2 linked regions of the Tamandua tetradactyla genome follow. The protein of the gene in region 1 purifies or fractionates together with the protein of each later gene. This does not show direct contact. Links are inferred from orthologs where the notes say so. Each region holds a gene or a part of one and is shown in the gene's direction. Other genes may lie near its edges.

Region 1 (8,212 bases):
AAAAGGGGAAAAGGGATGGCTTCTCTCTTGGGGCGTCTCTGTGAGAGGGAGTGGGGCAGGGGGAGCCCAGGATGACCCTCAGCTGTTCCAATCCAGTATTTTTTTTTAATTACTGTATTTATTATGACGATGGTGACTCCCCAGTGCACAGGGGAGCCCTGTGTGTTTCTCTCGCCTCTTTGTAAATAAATGCACAGTGTCACACATGTGGTGGACTCTCATTCTCTAGGGAAATGGGAGAAATAAATGCTCTTCTGCCTCTGGACTAAAATTTATGGTACAATCACTGTTTGCTTTGGAAATGGTAGTCCCCAGAGAGATCTGCGGGTGGTCTCAACATCATCTTCCTATCACTGGCTCTTTTTACTACAATGAATCTAAATTTTGCTTGAGTTATGTTTTGGTCATAAATACAATATCATGAAAATGGAAACAACATAGATAGAGGGATAGATCCCAAATCCCCTCTTTCAATCTCAGTGCCTTCCCCAGAAATTATCATAACAGTTTGATGTGCATCCTTGCATGGTTTTCTTTATGTGTTTGCATACATATACAAATATAAATAACCACATAAATATGTGTATATATAAAACGATGTATAGTTATACTATATGTGTTATATACATAACTATTTATATTAATGTAAATTGGACTATACATTTGCCTTTACTCCCTTTGGCAGGTGGTTTCATTGTGGGAAGGATTTTCATTAAGGATTGACTTTCTTCGATGAGTATAACACTATATAGTTTTTCTATTTCTTCTTGTGTCAGTTTTGCTAAGTTATAGTCATCTAGGAATTGTCCGCTTCATCTAAATTCAGATGACATTTTCCCATCAATATATTATTACCAGCTGCATGAGAGTCCATTGTAGCAATCCAATTTTGTCAACAATCGAGATTTTTGGCTATTACATGCCTTGCTATAGTGAACATACTGGCATAACCTTTCTGTGCATATATGTTTTTCTGTAGGATCCATTATAGAATGCTCATTTAAAAATTTTTACTTGATACTCCAACATTTACTCCCGTTAAGGCTGTCTCAATTAGCATTTACAAAAGCAATTTGTGTGTTTAACTTTTTTCTCTTTAGTGCAATTTTATTGAGATATAGTCACATGCTGTACAGTCCATCCAAAGTATACAACCTTAGATCACAGTATCCTCACATCAAAAGCAATTTTTGGATCCCCCTTTTTCCACCCCTTCACCAAATACCGAATGCTATTGGTCATTTTCATTTTGCCAAACTGATGGGTAAGAACAATACAGTTTTAATTAAGCCTTCTCCTTTCCTGCTTCTTTGATGTTTCCTTCTGTTTATTGGCCCCACTTGTGTTTTCTCTTATGTGAATTGCCTGTTCACATCCTTTGCCCATTTTTCTGTTGGGTAAGCCCAATAGTTATACTCATTTCATGGATGGGTAAATGGTGGCTCAGAGAGGAGCCATTACTTGCCCAGGGTCACACAGCAAGGACAGAAAGGGCCAGGACTTGACCTGATCTGACTCCAGAGTCTAAAGAATGGGTATCTGTCGCTGCTTTAACCTTTGTATTAACATGCGTGGGTGATCTCTCTGTCACATGAGCTCTGAGACAGTGGGGACAGGGCCTGCCCTGTTTACCTGTATCTCCAGTGCCCAACCAGGTACTGGGGATGGAGCAGGGAACAAAATAGAAAAAAAAAAGTCTCTCCCCTATGGAACTTCCATTCAGGTGTGTGTGTGGGGGTAAACTTATTTCTTTTAGAGTAATAATCAATGAAAGTTATTTTTAAAAGTTTACTAAGGGGTGGGCCACGGTGGCTCAGCAGGCAAGAACGCTTGCCTGCCGTGCCAGAGGACCCAGGTTCGATTCCCGGTGCCTGCCCATGTATATATATATAAAAAAAACTTACTAGGAAAAGCCATTGCTTGTCAAGTCCCCTTGGGAATCGTTGCCCCATTTCCATTCCACAAAATGTATAACTGAGGCCAGAAAGGGCAAGGGTCTTATCTAAGGCTAAGTAGGTGACTCAGTGGTCAAATAAATAAATATTAATGACTTCTTTTCATTTGTAAAGAAAGGAAATGAAATAAAATAATTAAAAAATAACAGCTAACACTAATTGGGCACTTGTTAAATGCGAGATTCTATTCTCAACGCTTTGCATATGTTAACACATTTAATCTTCACAATCTCATGGGGCAGATGCTATTATGATGCCCATTTTACAGATAGAAAAACTGAGGCACAGAGAGGTTAAGTAATTTATCTGAAGCTACTTGATGGCAAAGCCAGCATTTAAATGCATGTGTCTTTTCTCCGGAGTCCATGCTCTTAGCACTACCCTAAATAGCCTATTAGCAGGATGGATTCTCTCTAGAAGGATACACAAGGAACTGGGGGTCGGAGGGGAGGAGAGAATGTTGACATAATAAATTAAGTTCTTTATTTGTTAAGGGTGATGAAGACCATGGGGGCAAAACTGAGAAGGGGATATGGGGGCATCCAGATTGGGGGACAGAAGTGTTGGTAATTTTGAGTATAGTGATCACGGATGGTCTGATTGAGAAGGTGACATTTGAGACCAGAGGGAGGTGGGTGCTTGCAGCTTGTAGCTATCTTTTTTTTTTCCCCAAAAAGAGAAAGAATTTATTACTAGGCACATAGTAGGAGAACAAAATCTGTCTCCCCAAGTTTAGGGGGTTCAAGGTTTTTAAGAATTTTAGCAAGGGGAGATGAGGTTATTTTGAATTGCAGGTTCAAAGCAGAAAAGGAGACAGTGTTATCTTTATCATTTCCATAGAACATAAGCTAAAAGGAGGGGAGGCAGAGCTATCACTTCAATACTAAAGGTGTAAATCCAAAGGAAGGGAGACAAGTTGCCTTTCAACAGCTGAGTCTAGCTGATTTACAAATGTCCAGGGCTAAAACTAGTTAATGGCTGACTCCAAACTCTTCATTAGCATTAGGGCCTTTGCCCAACAAGAAAATGACCAGATGAGGGGCATAATAGCTCTTACAGTTACAAAGTCACCAGAAAAGGGCTTTAACAATCATTTCAGCTATCAGGGCAGCTCAATTATAGTTTAGGGATTTCAGGTATTCCCCTCTGTCTACTACAATATCCCAGAAAGCAAAAAGGAATATGATTCAGTAATCAAAATCATTCCTTAAATCCTAATTCCTTAGTTACAGTGCTACAGGATTATCATCTCTCCATTTATTCAAGCTGTTTTAGAGTGCCCCAGGTAAAGGATTTAGTTTTTACTTTCTTCATTTAAGTTCAGCTTGCAGCTATCTTGAGGAAGAGTATCCCAGGCAGAAGGGTCAGTCTGTGCAAAGGCCCTGAGGCACAACTGTGCCTGGCATGCTGGCAAAATGGCAAGGAGACCAGTGTGGCTGGAGCAGAGGGAGTGAGGGAGAGAGTGGCAGGTGGTGAGGTGAGAGATGGGAGACAGCCACCCCATCGTGTGGGGCCCTGTGGGACCAAATGAGGATTTGGGGTTTTACTCTGAGTGAGATGGGAGCCAGTGAAGAATTCTGAGCAGAGAAGGGACTTAAGTTTCTGCATGGATCTTTTTTTTTGTAACATCTGAGATATAACTCACATACCACACCACTTACCCATTTAAAATATATGATTCAATGGTTTTTAGTATATTCATAGAGTCGCACAACCATCACTATCAATTCCAGAACATTTTAATTGCTCCAAAAAGAAACTCTGCATCCCTTATCCATTATGTCTAATCTCCCCAACTCCCAACACCTTGCAATCACTAAGCTACTTTCTGTCACTATGGAATTGCCCATTCTGGACATTTCATGTAAATGGAATCATACAGTATGTGACCTTTTATGTCTGGCTTCTTTCACTTAACATCATGTTTTTAAGGTTCACCCATGTTGCAGCATGTATCAATATTTCATTGTTTTTATTACTATTTTTCATTATTTAATTTAATTATTTCATTGTTTGTTTCTGACTAAATATCATTCCATGGTATGGATGTACCACATTTTGTTCATCCTTTCATCACGTGGAAAAAGTGAACTGTTTCCATTTTATGACTATTAGGATAATGCCATGAACATTTGCGTACAAGTTTTTGTACCCAGATTCCTCTTATTTCACCTCTCTATATATGTGGGCATCTACCTCAGATTGGGATTGCTGGGTAATTTGGTAACTCTCTCTCTATATATATATCTTTTTTTTTTTTTTCTACATGGGCAGGCACCGGGAATCGAACCCGGGTCCTCTGGTATGGCAGGCGAGCATTCTTGCCTGCTGAGCCACCGTGGCCCACCCGGTAACTCTATATTTAAATTTTTGAGAAACTCTGAGACTTCAAAAGCAGCTCCACCACTTTACATTCTCACCAGCAGTGTATGAGGTTTCTGATTTTTCTGCATCCTCGACAACACTTATTATTATCTGGGGACCTCGTTTTAAATAGGATCTCTCTTTAGGGAACAGTTTTAAACATTCTACTGGGGGTGGGGACAGACTGAAGGGGGCCAAAATGGAACCTGGGAGCCCAGAGAAGAGGTGATTACAACAGTTCAAGTGAGAGGTGGTGGTCCCGAGAGGTGACTCCTGAGAGCAAAGTGGGGGTGGCAAAGGAGGAGAGAAGTGACTGGCTTCTGGAGGTATTTTGAAGATGGAGTCAATAGGGTTTGTTGCTAGGTCAATTGCGGGGTGAAGAGGAGGGGAGTGTGTGTCCAGGATGACCTCAAAGATTTACCATCAACTGAGATGGCTAAGTCTGAGGTAGGAGCGGCTGTGGCTCAGTTTTGGACGCGTTGAGCTTGATGCATCCAGTGGAGATAACCAGCAGGCAACCGGGTATCCGATTCTAGAATTCACTGTCGGCGTTCACTTCCCATTTGTCTAATAACTTACTAAAGGCAGATCAGAATCCGAGTCCCGCATCTCAGTTTTCTCCTCTAAAAAATGGGGACAGAGAATACAACCTACTATTAGGTTTTCACGAGGCGGGGACGAGTCTCGTGCAAGCAGAGAGCAGGATTGCACGTCTGAGGGGCTGCGGTGAGCCGTAGGGTGGGGAGAAGGCTAAGATCCGCAACTCGCCAGAGACCCAGAGATAAAGGTTCGGGCCGCGTCTGTCTTTCCTTCTTCCCCCGCCCCCAGCCTCGGGCTGCCCAGCGGAGGGAACGGGGTAGGTTGGGGTCACTACCCTATCTTCCCCGGGCTCTAAGTCGGGTTTCCTCCTAGCGGGCTGCCCGGGCCAGAACTGCTGATGGAAACCAGCTGCGGGAGGTGCGGGGGCTCGGCGCACGCCCAGGCTCCTCCCCGGCGCCGGCAGACCCCGCTCTGCAGTGGGGGACAGGGCCCGCTGCCCCCCGTCCCCCTTCCGCAGCCCGGCCCGGGGCCCTGGCACGTCCGGCGCGCCTGATGCTTTCCAGATGCGGGCCCGGGTCCCCTCCCCCACCTGGCCCTGCCGCGCCCGCGGGGGAGGAGGAGGGGGAGGGAAGCCAGGGCCCAATGCCGCCCCCCTACCCCGCCCTACCAAATCTCTGCTGCGGGCCCGGGCCGGCTTCCCAGTCCAGGCCTTAGAAAGTGGGCAGACTGCAGCGGAGACGCCCCTCCCCCTCCTCCCCCTCCTCCCCCTCCGCCCCCTCCGTCCCGCGCCCCCAACTCGCCGCCGCGTCTGCTTCTCGCCCCAGGACCCGCCCCTCGGAGCACGCGCCCGCCAGACCACGCCCCTCCCGGGACACGCCCCATTCGAATGCCACGCCCCAGACGCGCCCCGCCCAGAGGCCCCGCCCCTTCCCGCCCCCGTGGGCGGTGCCGAATACTTGTCTCTTTGTTTCTCGGCTCCCGGCTGTCTCTGTGTGCCTGTCTCTCTGTCCCCGTCTCTGACCCTCTATTTCCATCTGGCACTCCTGCGTCCTCTGCTCCCTCCGTGTGTACCTCTGTCTCTCTGCAGTTCTCTCCCTGTCTCTGTCGCTCTCCCTCTCCCTCTCAGTTTTTCCGGGTCCCAGTCGATATTCCCTCTTCCTATCCAGCTCCCTTCTCCTTTCTATGCCTCCGAATCCCTCCTGGCCTCTTTCTTTCCCTGCGTCCCTGTGTCTTTCTCTGCTTCTCCCTCCGGTGGGGCTCGACCTTGTCGCGGGCGGGTGGGCGGGCCGCGGGCGCCCCCGTGCGGCTGGCGGGGGGCTGTCAGGGGAGGATAGAGGGCCGCGTGTGTGCGCGAGACCCCGTGCGACTCGAGCCCCGGAGACGCCGCGTGGGTGTGCGTGGGTGACGCCGGGAGAGGCTGTGTGACACTGAGGCCGTGTGAATGTGTAATGCTGTTAGGTGTGTGTGACAGAGAGTGTGTGTGGCTGTAACATTGTTAAGAGTCTGCGTGACACTAGAAGATTGTGTGCAGAAGGCTGCGTGGCAGGGTGAGATGATGTGGGACGAGAGATTGGGTGTGACTGTGAGAAACCCAGCGTGTGGCTGCATATGTGAGATGACATGGAGGTGACTGTGTGTGACACAGTGGGATTAGGTGCGCCTGTGACCCCATGAGATTCTCCGTGACACTGAGAGATTGTGTGGCTGTGCATGTCACCGGGAGATGGTGTGTGACTGGGTGTGCGAGAGACACTATTTGGGTGACTGTATGTGACGTCAGGAGACCATTTGTGAGAGTGAGAGTTTCAGTGTGGCAGTGCATGTGAGAGACAGTGTGTGTGCCTGCACATGACATAGAGATTTACATCACTGTGAAGTGGTACGTGTGAGAAACTGTGCAACATGGCGAGGACATAACAGCTGGTGTGTGTCACATGGGCAGACGATGCATGAGGGGAGAGACTGAATGACTGTGATATACCAAGGATGGTGTAAGAACGCGGAGTGAGAGGTGTGGGGGAGAGTGGATGTGACAGAGATGGTGACTGTGACACCACTACAGACTGTGAGGGTCAGTGTGACTGTGGGACTCTGAAGTTGTGTGTGATCCTGAGAGGTTGGCACAGCACATGTGAGACATTGCATTGTAACTGTGCATGAGTGTATGCAAAAGTGCGGGCACCTAGAGACGACAGCATGACAGATGCCTGTGCTTATATGTAAGAGAGGTGGTTGCTACGTGAGGGTGAAGACCTGGTGTGAGGTGATGCCTCTGTGTGAAACACCCAGTGTGAAGCTCAGCAATAGATTAGTTTCGTGTGTGTGTGAGAGAAACATTGTAAAATTGTGAGGGATTCTGTGAGATACTGACTGATCATGGCACCAACAGATTGTGCGTGTGACAGAGACAGACTGTGTGTGACTGTGTGTGGAGGGAAAGTGTGAGTGAATTGCACATGACCCCAGAAGATTGTGTGAGATTGTTTGTGGGAGTCACTGGTTGTGTGAGACTGTATCTGACACCATGACTGTGTGTTGCTGTGTAACATTGTAAAATATTGTAATAGTGCCTAAGGAAGAGGTTGTCTGCATAATTACACATCACCGTGTGAATCATGGAGAAATTGTGTGTGTGACTATGACAGGTGAGCCTGGGAGTTTAAATTGTATCTGGATATGTGTGACATTTTGAGAGATTGTGAGAAACCGTAAGAAACCGTGTTTGTACATTTGTCACGCTCTGAGATTGTGTGTCTGTGTGGTTGTATGAGGGGTTATTGGTGATGATGTATTACACATGAAAGTGAGTGGCCATCTGTGGCATTCTAAGAGAGGGGGTGACTGTAACCCTATGGGAGACTGTGTCAGTGTGTTGCGTGCAGGTTGTTCACAGGACTGTGTGGCACAGCGAAATGTACATCTCTGTGCAAGGGAGTGTGAGTCTGTGTGTTGCTGCTGGGGTCACACTGAGGTGACAGATGTGACTGTGTGTGACAGGGTGGGGCTGTGTGGGACACACAGAAGAGATTTGCGTGACTATGGAATAAATGCAGGGTGGGGGGCACACTTTGGGGCCACCTTGTCCTTTCTTGTGAATGTGTGTGTGTGTGTGTGTGTGTGAGAGAGAGAGAGAGAGAGAGAGGTATGGAGACAGGGACAGAGATCCAGAGGGGAGACTGGGAGAGAGACACAGAGAGACCAGGAGAGACCGAGACACAGGGAAAGAGAAGAGAGACACAAAAATAGAAAGACAAAGAGTGGGACAGACAGACCTGGAGAGGACCTAGAGAGACAGACCCAAGGGCAGGGGGGAGGAGGCGGCGGGAGGAGGAGGCGGTCCTTAGGGGCTGCGC
Region 2 (8,187 bases), on another chromosome or scaffold:
ACATATCTTTTTGGGTGACACAAGTCAAAGTTCAGAGAAGCCATGCAACTAGTCTCAGTGGTGAGGGAGGGCAGGTTCTGGTCAGCCAGAGCCCACACCCTTGGCCACTAGATGTTCTTGCCACTAGAATGGTCTTCCTAATATGCCAGTCTATTATGTCCCTCCACACAAGGTGGCCAAAAGAACTAAATGAGTTAATACATACAGTGCTTAAAACAGCGCCTGGCGCTTCATAAGCACCATGCAAGGGTAATTGCGGTGGCAGTATTTTTCATGCCTATCTTTCTAATTGCATCTCCCACCACCTGCTCACAGACAGTTCAGGTTCCAGCCATGCTGGTGGGGCCCCCAGATGCTGCAGCCGCCTGCACACCCCACCTCTCCACCCACAATGCATATCCCTCTCCTCATCCTCCCCCCTCCCGGTTCTCCCTACCCCTCACCTGTGAGCTCTACCTCAGGACTCAGCTCCAGGGCAGCTCTCCCAGAGATTTCTCTTGACAGGCAGGCAGAGTCGGGGTCTCCCTCTTTGGGCTTGGCAGGGCTGCCCGAGCCCCAGCACCTATCTGTTGGGGGCAAACCTCACCCACTAAGCCTGTGCAGGGACCGTGAGTTTTGGGCTTTCAACTATTTGGCCCCGCAGGGCACCAACACACTCATTTTATGGCTTTGGCTGGAGTCAGGCTCCACCTGTTTTTCCTCTTAAAGTGCACCCTGAGGGGAGGATTGTGTTTTTTAGGAAGTTTTAAATTATAGTGCCCATTACAACTGGGTTTTCCATGGTGACATCCCACAGGATTTATATTGTCCTGCAATGACCCATTGTGATCGCTGCCAAAATGAGTTAAACTTAACCACAACAAATTCAGAAATCCTATTGTCTGACTGGTTTCTCACTGATTAAATAAATGAGGTGGTGTTGACCCAGCATGTTGTAATAAACCAAAGGTTATAAATTAACTGCATTTACTTTATCCCATGTGTAGAGGTCTGAGCAACTACCATGATAAAAGAAGATGAGGCTTTAGAAAGCTGCTCCTATTGGCTTTTCACACCCTTGTCCTTTTTCTTTTCAGCCTCATCTTGGGTAAAACATGTGTGATCAAACCTTCCTGGTTAATGTATTTGGCTCGTGTGACAAATGTTTCAAACAAAGAGCTCTGAGACCAGTGTTCAAGAAATCTCAGCAACTCAACTACTGTTCTACGTGTGCAGAAATAGTAAGTGATACCTTATTATTTTATTTATTTAAGTAGTTAACCTGTCTTAAAATGATGTCTAGGATGAGGGTTCTATGACAGAGGAGTTGCCATAGAATCTGATTTAAACGACACAAACATTTCTAGCATCCCCAGGCTTTGTGAGGCAGTGTAGCATAGGGGTTTAGGGTATGGGCTCTGGTTTGTCTGACTTCCTGGGTTCAAATCCCAGTTATGTTCCTCAAAGGTGGTGTGCCCACTGGTTCTTACCTCTCTCGTTGTGTCTATATTCCCATCTGTAAAATAGCATCTATCTCTAGGATTTTGTGAGGATCAAATGAGTTATTTTGATAAAGTGTTTTAAATAGTACCCAGCAACCAAGCTAAAAGGGACTCTGGCAATTAAACTTCCTGGGAGCACTTTTAAGGGCCCTGTCCTATTAAAAGAAGATTCTATTGAAGATTCAACCATATAGGACCTCAGTACCAAGCAAAATTATGCTTAAGAAAAAGTACTCCTTGCCCTAAACCGTCAGTGGGGACTAGGAACTGGACACACCACTTGTAATTTTCAAAGTATCCCAAATCAAGTGCACTAGGACTCAGTCCTGTCTCAGAGGCTGTGTGCTCTCAGTAGTGCCGCTGGAGCAGAGCCCCAACCTGGTGAAACGTGGTAACGCACTCTCACCCAGAAGGCCAGTGGGAAAACCCGTATTATGAACACACTTAAAAATAAATGTCAAAGAGAGGAAAGTTGATTTTGCCATTTCATTCAACTGAAGAGGAACAAATTTATCTTCCTGGTTCCATTGTAATCCCTCACAGTGATTACATTAAAAAAGTTTATCTCATAAAGCTATAGCCCAAGTTGGCATAAAAACTTTGGTACAGAATAGTGACTCTGATGTCACTCCAGGAGTGGTATAATGGGCTACTACCAACAGCATACCTCACTTTGCAAGTTGTAAACTTGGCTCTGCAAATTATAAAGCTGAGGACATTCAGTTCCTAAAACAACCCTGCTTTCTAGTGGCCCTATCCTCCTGGGGCAGCGCTATATTAATCTAGCACTTCTGTTTTCTAAACGACCTCCTCAGTGTGGAAAAGAAAGAAACCCAGAATCCCAGTCATGGGATTCTCTATAGCACCATAGATTCTCCCCACGTCAGAGAGCCTGCTTGGAGATACTCTCCCAGGCAACTGTCACCAGCTGTGTTCACCACAAACACCTGGCAATTTCCCATAATTCAGACAGCAGGCGTTAGCTGAGGAGACATCCAAGTGACTATCAGCTGGGAGTTGGGGTGGTATAAACACAACCCCCAGTGGACCTTTTTCATGAGTGGGACCCTGCTGAAATGCAGCAGGCCTCAACACGGCTGATCTCCAGCTTCCTCAATTATAAAAAGGAAGCCGCTTTGCTAACTTTGCCTAGCTGTTAAAAAGTTACATGACCTTGTTATCTCTAGAGAGTAGACTTTCCAGATTGGAGGATGTTTGGAGTTTATTCTACAGAGAAAACCCCCAGAGGAGGGCACACACCAGTGTGGAGCTCCACCCACCCCAGGTCTTCAAATACAGGCAGACCCTAACCCAGGCACACACATCCCACTATGGGCCAAGACGTTCCAGCCCTGAAGCTGTGATGGGAGGATGTTGATTTGCCTGGGCCTTCTGAGATGTCCTTGTGAGAAGTGCACCTCCCTGCTTCTGTGGCCTACGGTCTCATTTAAATTACTTCATGCAAATTGCTCAAATGTATAAGGCAACTTGAATAATAATCAGTGCATACTGTGTGCCACAGATCGCTCTGAATGCTCTAAATATTAACTCTCTTGAGATCCCTATGAGGTAGCTGTACCCCTCCCCCTCCCATTTATAGATGAGGAAGCTGAGATACAGAGAAGTTAAGTAAATTCTTCAGTCACACAGCAAAGCCAGGATTTTCCCCTAGGCTGTCTGATCTAGAGCCTATGCACTTAATTTTTTGCCCTACAAATTCTGAAAGATCTAATATTTTGCTTTTATATATTATTTTAATTTTATATAAATATTTGCATCTATATAAATATATTTACTTTATTTTAATAAAATAGCTATATTTTTTCTTTTATTCTTTTTATTTACTTGTTATATATAGTTATACACACTTTATGTGTTCTGTTTTATACATTCGTTTAATAAACTAACATTAATTGAGCACCTACCATAATGCAGTAATTATGCTAAATGCCGAGAATAAACAATGAATAAAGCTGTATTGATGGAGAAGGGAGACTGGAACGGGCACATATTTACATCTACTTTGTATGGAGAAGTCTGCTAAGAGTGTATACTCACGCTATTTTTCTTAATTCTCATAACAGCCCTGTGGAGTAGATACTAGCCCCATTTCCCAGATAAGGACACTTAGAAGCTCAGAATCTAACTCCAAGCCAACTTTGTATAGATTATTGTAGATGACTTCCAGCTTTTCTCAGATAAAGACGGCTCAGGACAGCACGCAGGAGCTGGGTTCCCCAGAGAGGGGGTACAGAAAAGGGGTGCATCCAGGATTCTGCTTGGGCAATTTTCATTCTGGAATCTGAAACCTTGATCTGTTTTCCCATTTTGTGTGCACGCGCGCGCGCACACATACAAACACGTGTACACACACACACACACACACACACACACACACACACACGAAGTTGAGGACTGCATGAAGTCCAGAGACATATAGCTGAATGGAGTCAGACTGCTGCCTGGGTCAATACTGCCCCTGCTAATCTTTCTAGTAGTGTGACTGTGGGCAAGTTACCTAATCTTTCAGTGCCTCGCTTTTCTCATCTGTAAAATGGGGACAATAATAGAGCCCATTCAGAGTGATTATTGTGAGGATTAAATGATTTCCTCATATAAAGCACTTTAGTGCCTGTCACTGCAGAGAGATGGGGATGCTTGAGTCTGCCATAAAGTCACTGGATTCGCATCCTTGAGAGAACTGTAGCAACCCTTCATTCTAATGGAGAGGAAGCTGCTCGCAGTGATGCTTCAGATATCCCTGCGCTTGACCTCAGAAGCCGCTATGCGCCCTCTGCGCCCTGTCACCTCCCTTTGCTGCCCCCAGGCCAGAGACATGATTCCTGCATTAGGAAAGAAAAAGCAAAGCCAAGGGCGAGGCTCCTAATACCGCAGGACTCCGGGGTTGGTCGGAAGCCAGAACTAGTTTTATTTTTGCCTACTGAAATCGACAGAGGAGGAAAGTTTGGGTTGTAGGTGGGGCAGCCGAAGCTCCTCACTTGACTGGTGCTACCGAGATCAGGCCGGGTATTAGCCGCGCAGGCCAAGCTTCATTGCCCTCTTCTCTCCAGTCTGCCTTTGCAAACAGAAATCCCTGAGCCGTGTATCAAGTCCCATTGGAGGAGCGGGGGCCCTGGGGAGGGGCAGGGGGAGGTTTGTGCTGTGTCATTGGGACTCCTCAGGTTGCCCAGGAGCCAGGCAGTCGTGGGTTCGAATCCCAGCTTGTCCTCACTGTGTGTGCGTCACCTGCAAGTCACGTATCATCTCGAGCCTCAGTTTCCCCACCTATAAAATAGGCGTGGCACTGCCTGCCTCCCCACGGTGATGTGCGCACAGAGGTACCGCAGATATCGCACCAAGCACTGCGCCAGGGCGCGCGCGCAGCGGGTGGGGGGACAAAGGGTTCAGGACGCAGAGAGGGTGCAAGGCGCGGAGGAGGCGCCGGTACCCGCGGGCGAGACCCGCAGAGAAGTGGGGGGCGGCCGCAGCAGCCCGGCTCGCGGCTGACGGCGTCATCACCCGGAAGGCGGGGCCGCGCTCGGGAGAGACCCGGACTGGAGCTGCGCCCGCCGCCGCTCAGCACCCGCGGGTAGACGCGACCTCCTCCGCCGGCTCACCCCCATCCCTCTCTCTGCTTCCCTCCTGCCGCCCTCCCGAGAAGATGGCAACCGACGGGCTGCACGAGAACGAGACGCTGGCGTCGCTGAAGAGCGAGGCCGAGAGCCTCAAGGGCAAACTGGAGGAGGAGCGGGCCAAGCTGCACGACGTGGAGCGTGAGTGTGGGCCGGGCGGGACCGGGCGCGGGAGGCGGGCAGCGGGGAGCGGGGAGCGGGGAGGGGTCGCGGCAGCCGGCACACTGGCGGCCTCGCCTGATCCGGGCCGAGTAAACAGGACAGGCTTCTAGTACCGGGTGAGGGCGGCCAGGGCCTGGGGTGGGGAGCAAGGCCCGCGCCACCGCCGTGGGGTGGGGACCCCTGGGTGCCTGGACGCTCCTCTAGGGCGCATGTAGCGAGCGCCGGCCTCCCGGGCGCGGGGGTTTCGGCCCGCAGCGGAGCCGGCCCTCGCAGCGTCCCGGCACCCAGCCGAGCGTCAGCCCGCCCTCTGGCGGAGGTTGGCCCGCCCCTGGGCGGAGACGCTTGGTTGCTGCAGGCCCTGGCCGCTGTCACTCCGACGGAGGATCTTGGGACTAGTTACCCTCACCGGCCTGGAAGATGCTAAATAATTTCTGTTCTGACTTTGGGGGGGGGGTTGTGGAGGGAACGGGGGTGGGGGTGGGAGGGAACCGGTGGAAGCATGGCTCAGTGACGTCAAACACACAGAGCCGGTGTGGGTCTTGGCCTAGGATAAACTCCTGTTTCGTTTTATAATCTTTCGACTTTCTTCATCACTGTTGTCTTTTCTCAGTTTTGCTTTTTCAAGAAGCCAGACTCTGATTTAAAAGTTAATTTCTTCAACCCTCCAGCCCCCGCCCCAACCTCCTTTGGGGCTGGATGTGGGAAGACCATTAATCCGATCATTTAATTCATTAAGATTGTTTAAGAAAGTTTTTGAAAAGAGTGGTGTGATTAGCATGAAAGGACAATAGCAATCTTAATCTTAAACTTACATTATTGACCAGCACCATAATTCAGAGCCTACTCTGTGAATTTTCTGAGTGAGAATTAAATAGGTTAAATGACTCTTAGTGGGTCAGTTTCCCTTTTACTCCGTTAGATGGTTTTATCCTCAGTGGAGCTTGGGCTAAGGGCCAGGCTTGGGGGGTAGTCTTCCCTGCTTTTCAGCTCTGAGGCTGGTAGCTCTCCTTAGCTGAGCAAGGTCTCCCCACTGTCCCCTTATCACACCTATACATTGTGCTTCTCAGTGGCAGGAAGACAAAACAACTTGCCCAAGGACCCCCGCCTCCTAGTGGCGTCAGGATTCCAGCCCTGGCTCACTTCCGCTTTTTTGCTGGATCCCTTTATACTTTACACAGATGGGAGTTTTCCAGAAACTCATATACTTGTAAGTGTGAGCTGCTTGGGTGGCACTGTGCCCACTGGGGTGTTTTTCGGTCTTTTCTGTGAATTTGTCAGTTGCCACATGTGTTAGTTTGCTAGCTGCGGGAATGTGATATACCAGAACTTAATGTCTTTTTAAAAAGGGAATGTATTAAGTTGCAAGTTTATGGTTCTAAGGCCATGAAAATGTCCAAATTAAGGCAAGGCTATGAAAATGTCCAAACTGAGGTATCCAAGGAACGATACCTTGGTTCAAGAAGGCTGATGATGTTCAGGGTTTCTCTCTCAGCTGGAAAAGCACATAGTGACGTCTGCTGGCTTTTTCTCCTCGTTTCATAAAGCTTCTTCTACGGCTTCCCCAGGGCTCTGTCTGTTCTGTTGGCTCTATCGGTTCTGGTGGCTCTAAAGCTTTTTCAAAAATGGGTCCCTCTTAAAGGGCTCCACTAGCAACCCCATCTTTAATGGGTGCAGACATATCTCCATGGAAACCATCCATTCAAAAGTTACCACCCACAATTGGGTGGATCACATCTCCATGGAAACAATAAAAAAGATTCCACCTAGCAATATTAAATGAGGATTAAAGAACATTGCTTTGCTGGTGTACATAATAGCTTCAAACTGGCACACCATGAAATGGAGCTTCTGGGAGCCCCAGGGAAGTTTGGTCAGTCCAAATGAGGACACTATTGCTGTCCTCTCTACGGGTACAGTGCCCTCAGGAGCCAAGGTCAGATTTTGGATCCACAATGGAAAGGTCTACTTCCATCTGTGTTTAAGTCAGAACTTTTTTTTTAAATTAATTTAAAAATTAAAAAAAAAAATATAACAACAAACACAGTCTTATCTTATCATTATTCCGTTCTACATATGTAATCAGTAATTCACAATATCATCACATAGTTGCATATTCATCATCATGATCATTTCTTAGAACTTTTGCATCAATTTGGAAAAAGAAATAAAAAGAAAACAGAAAAAAATTCACATATACCATACCCCTTATCCCTCCCTTTCATTGATCACTAGCATTTCAATCTTTGTTCCCCCTATTATTTATTTTTATTCCATGTGTTTTACTCGTCTGTTGATAAGGTAGATAAAAGGAGTATCAGATACAAGGTTTTCACAGTCACACAATCACACTGTGAAAGCTGTATCAGTATACAGTCATCTTCAAGAAACATAGCTACTGGAACACAGCTCTACATTTTCAGGCAGCTCCCTCCAGCCTCTCCATTACATCTTGACTAACAAGGTGATATCTATTTTATGCATAAGAATAACCTCCAGGATAACTTCTGGACTCTGTTTGGAATCTCTCAACCATTGACACTTTATTTTGTCTCATTTCACCCTTCCCGCTTTTGGTCCAGAAGATTTTCTCAATCCCTTGATGCTGAGTCTCAGTTCATTCTAGGATTTCGGTCCCACATTGCCAGGAAGGTCCACACCCCTGGGAGTCATGTCCCATGTAGACAGGGGGAGGGCAGTGAGTTTGCTTGTTGTGTTGGCTGGAGAGAGAGGCCACATCTGAGCAACAGAATAGATTCTCTTGGGGGTGTAGGTCAGAACTTTTGAGTTGAAAAGTCATGTGATCCCAAAGTCACGTGGATCGGGGAAGTCATGTGATCCACCCACCCTGGATCACTGAACAGGTTCAGAGAGTTAAGTGAGTTTCCCAAAATGAGCTGAAATCAGGGCCAGAA

Evidence for each region. The genes of interacting proteins can lie anywhere in the genome.
Region 2: the proteins of GNG8 (region 1) and GNB5 purify together in Homo sapiens (co-immunoprecipitation; 3 studies listed by BioGRID and IntAct, with this or other methods). This does not show direct contact. The link is inferred for Tamandua tetradactyla from reciprocal best matches to the Homo sapiens genes GNG8 and GNB5.

The regions. Positions count from the first base shown.
Region 1 is NC_135342.1:14,562,628-14,570,839, forward strand, and holds the start of GNG8 (guanine nucleotide-binding protein G(I)/G(S)/G(O) subunit gamma-8), read left to right. Parts: upstream 1-5,047; 5' UTR 5,048-5,106; intron 5,107-8,212. UniProt on the Homo sapiens protein: Guanine nucleotide-binding proteins (G proteins) are involved as a modulator or transducer in various transmembrane signaling systems.
Region 2 is NC_135340.1:67,016,945-67,025,131, reverse strand, and holds the start of GNB5 (guanine nucleotide-binding protein subunit beta-5), read left to right. Parts: upstream 1-5,015; 5' UTR 5,016-5,142; coding exon 5,143-5,254; intron 5,255-8,187. UniProt on the Homo sapiens protein: Enhances GTPase-activating protein (GAP) activity of regulator of G protein signaling (RGS) proteins, such as RGS7 and RGS9, hence involved in the termination of the signaling initiated by the G protein coupled receptors (GPCRs) by accelerating the GTP hydrolysis on the G-alpha subunits, thereby promoting their inactivation.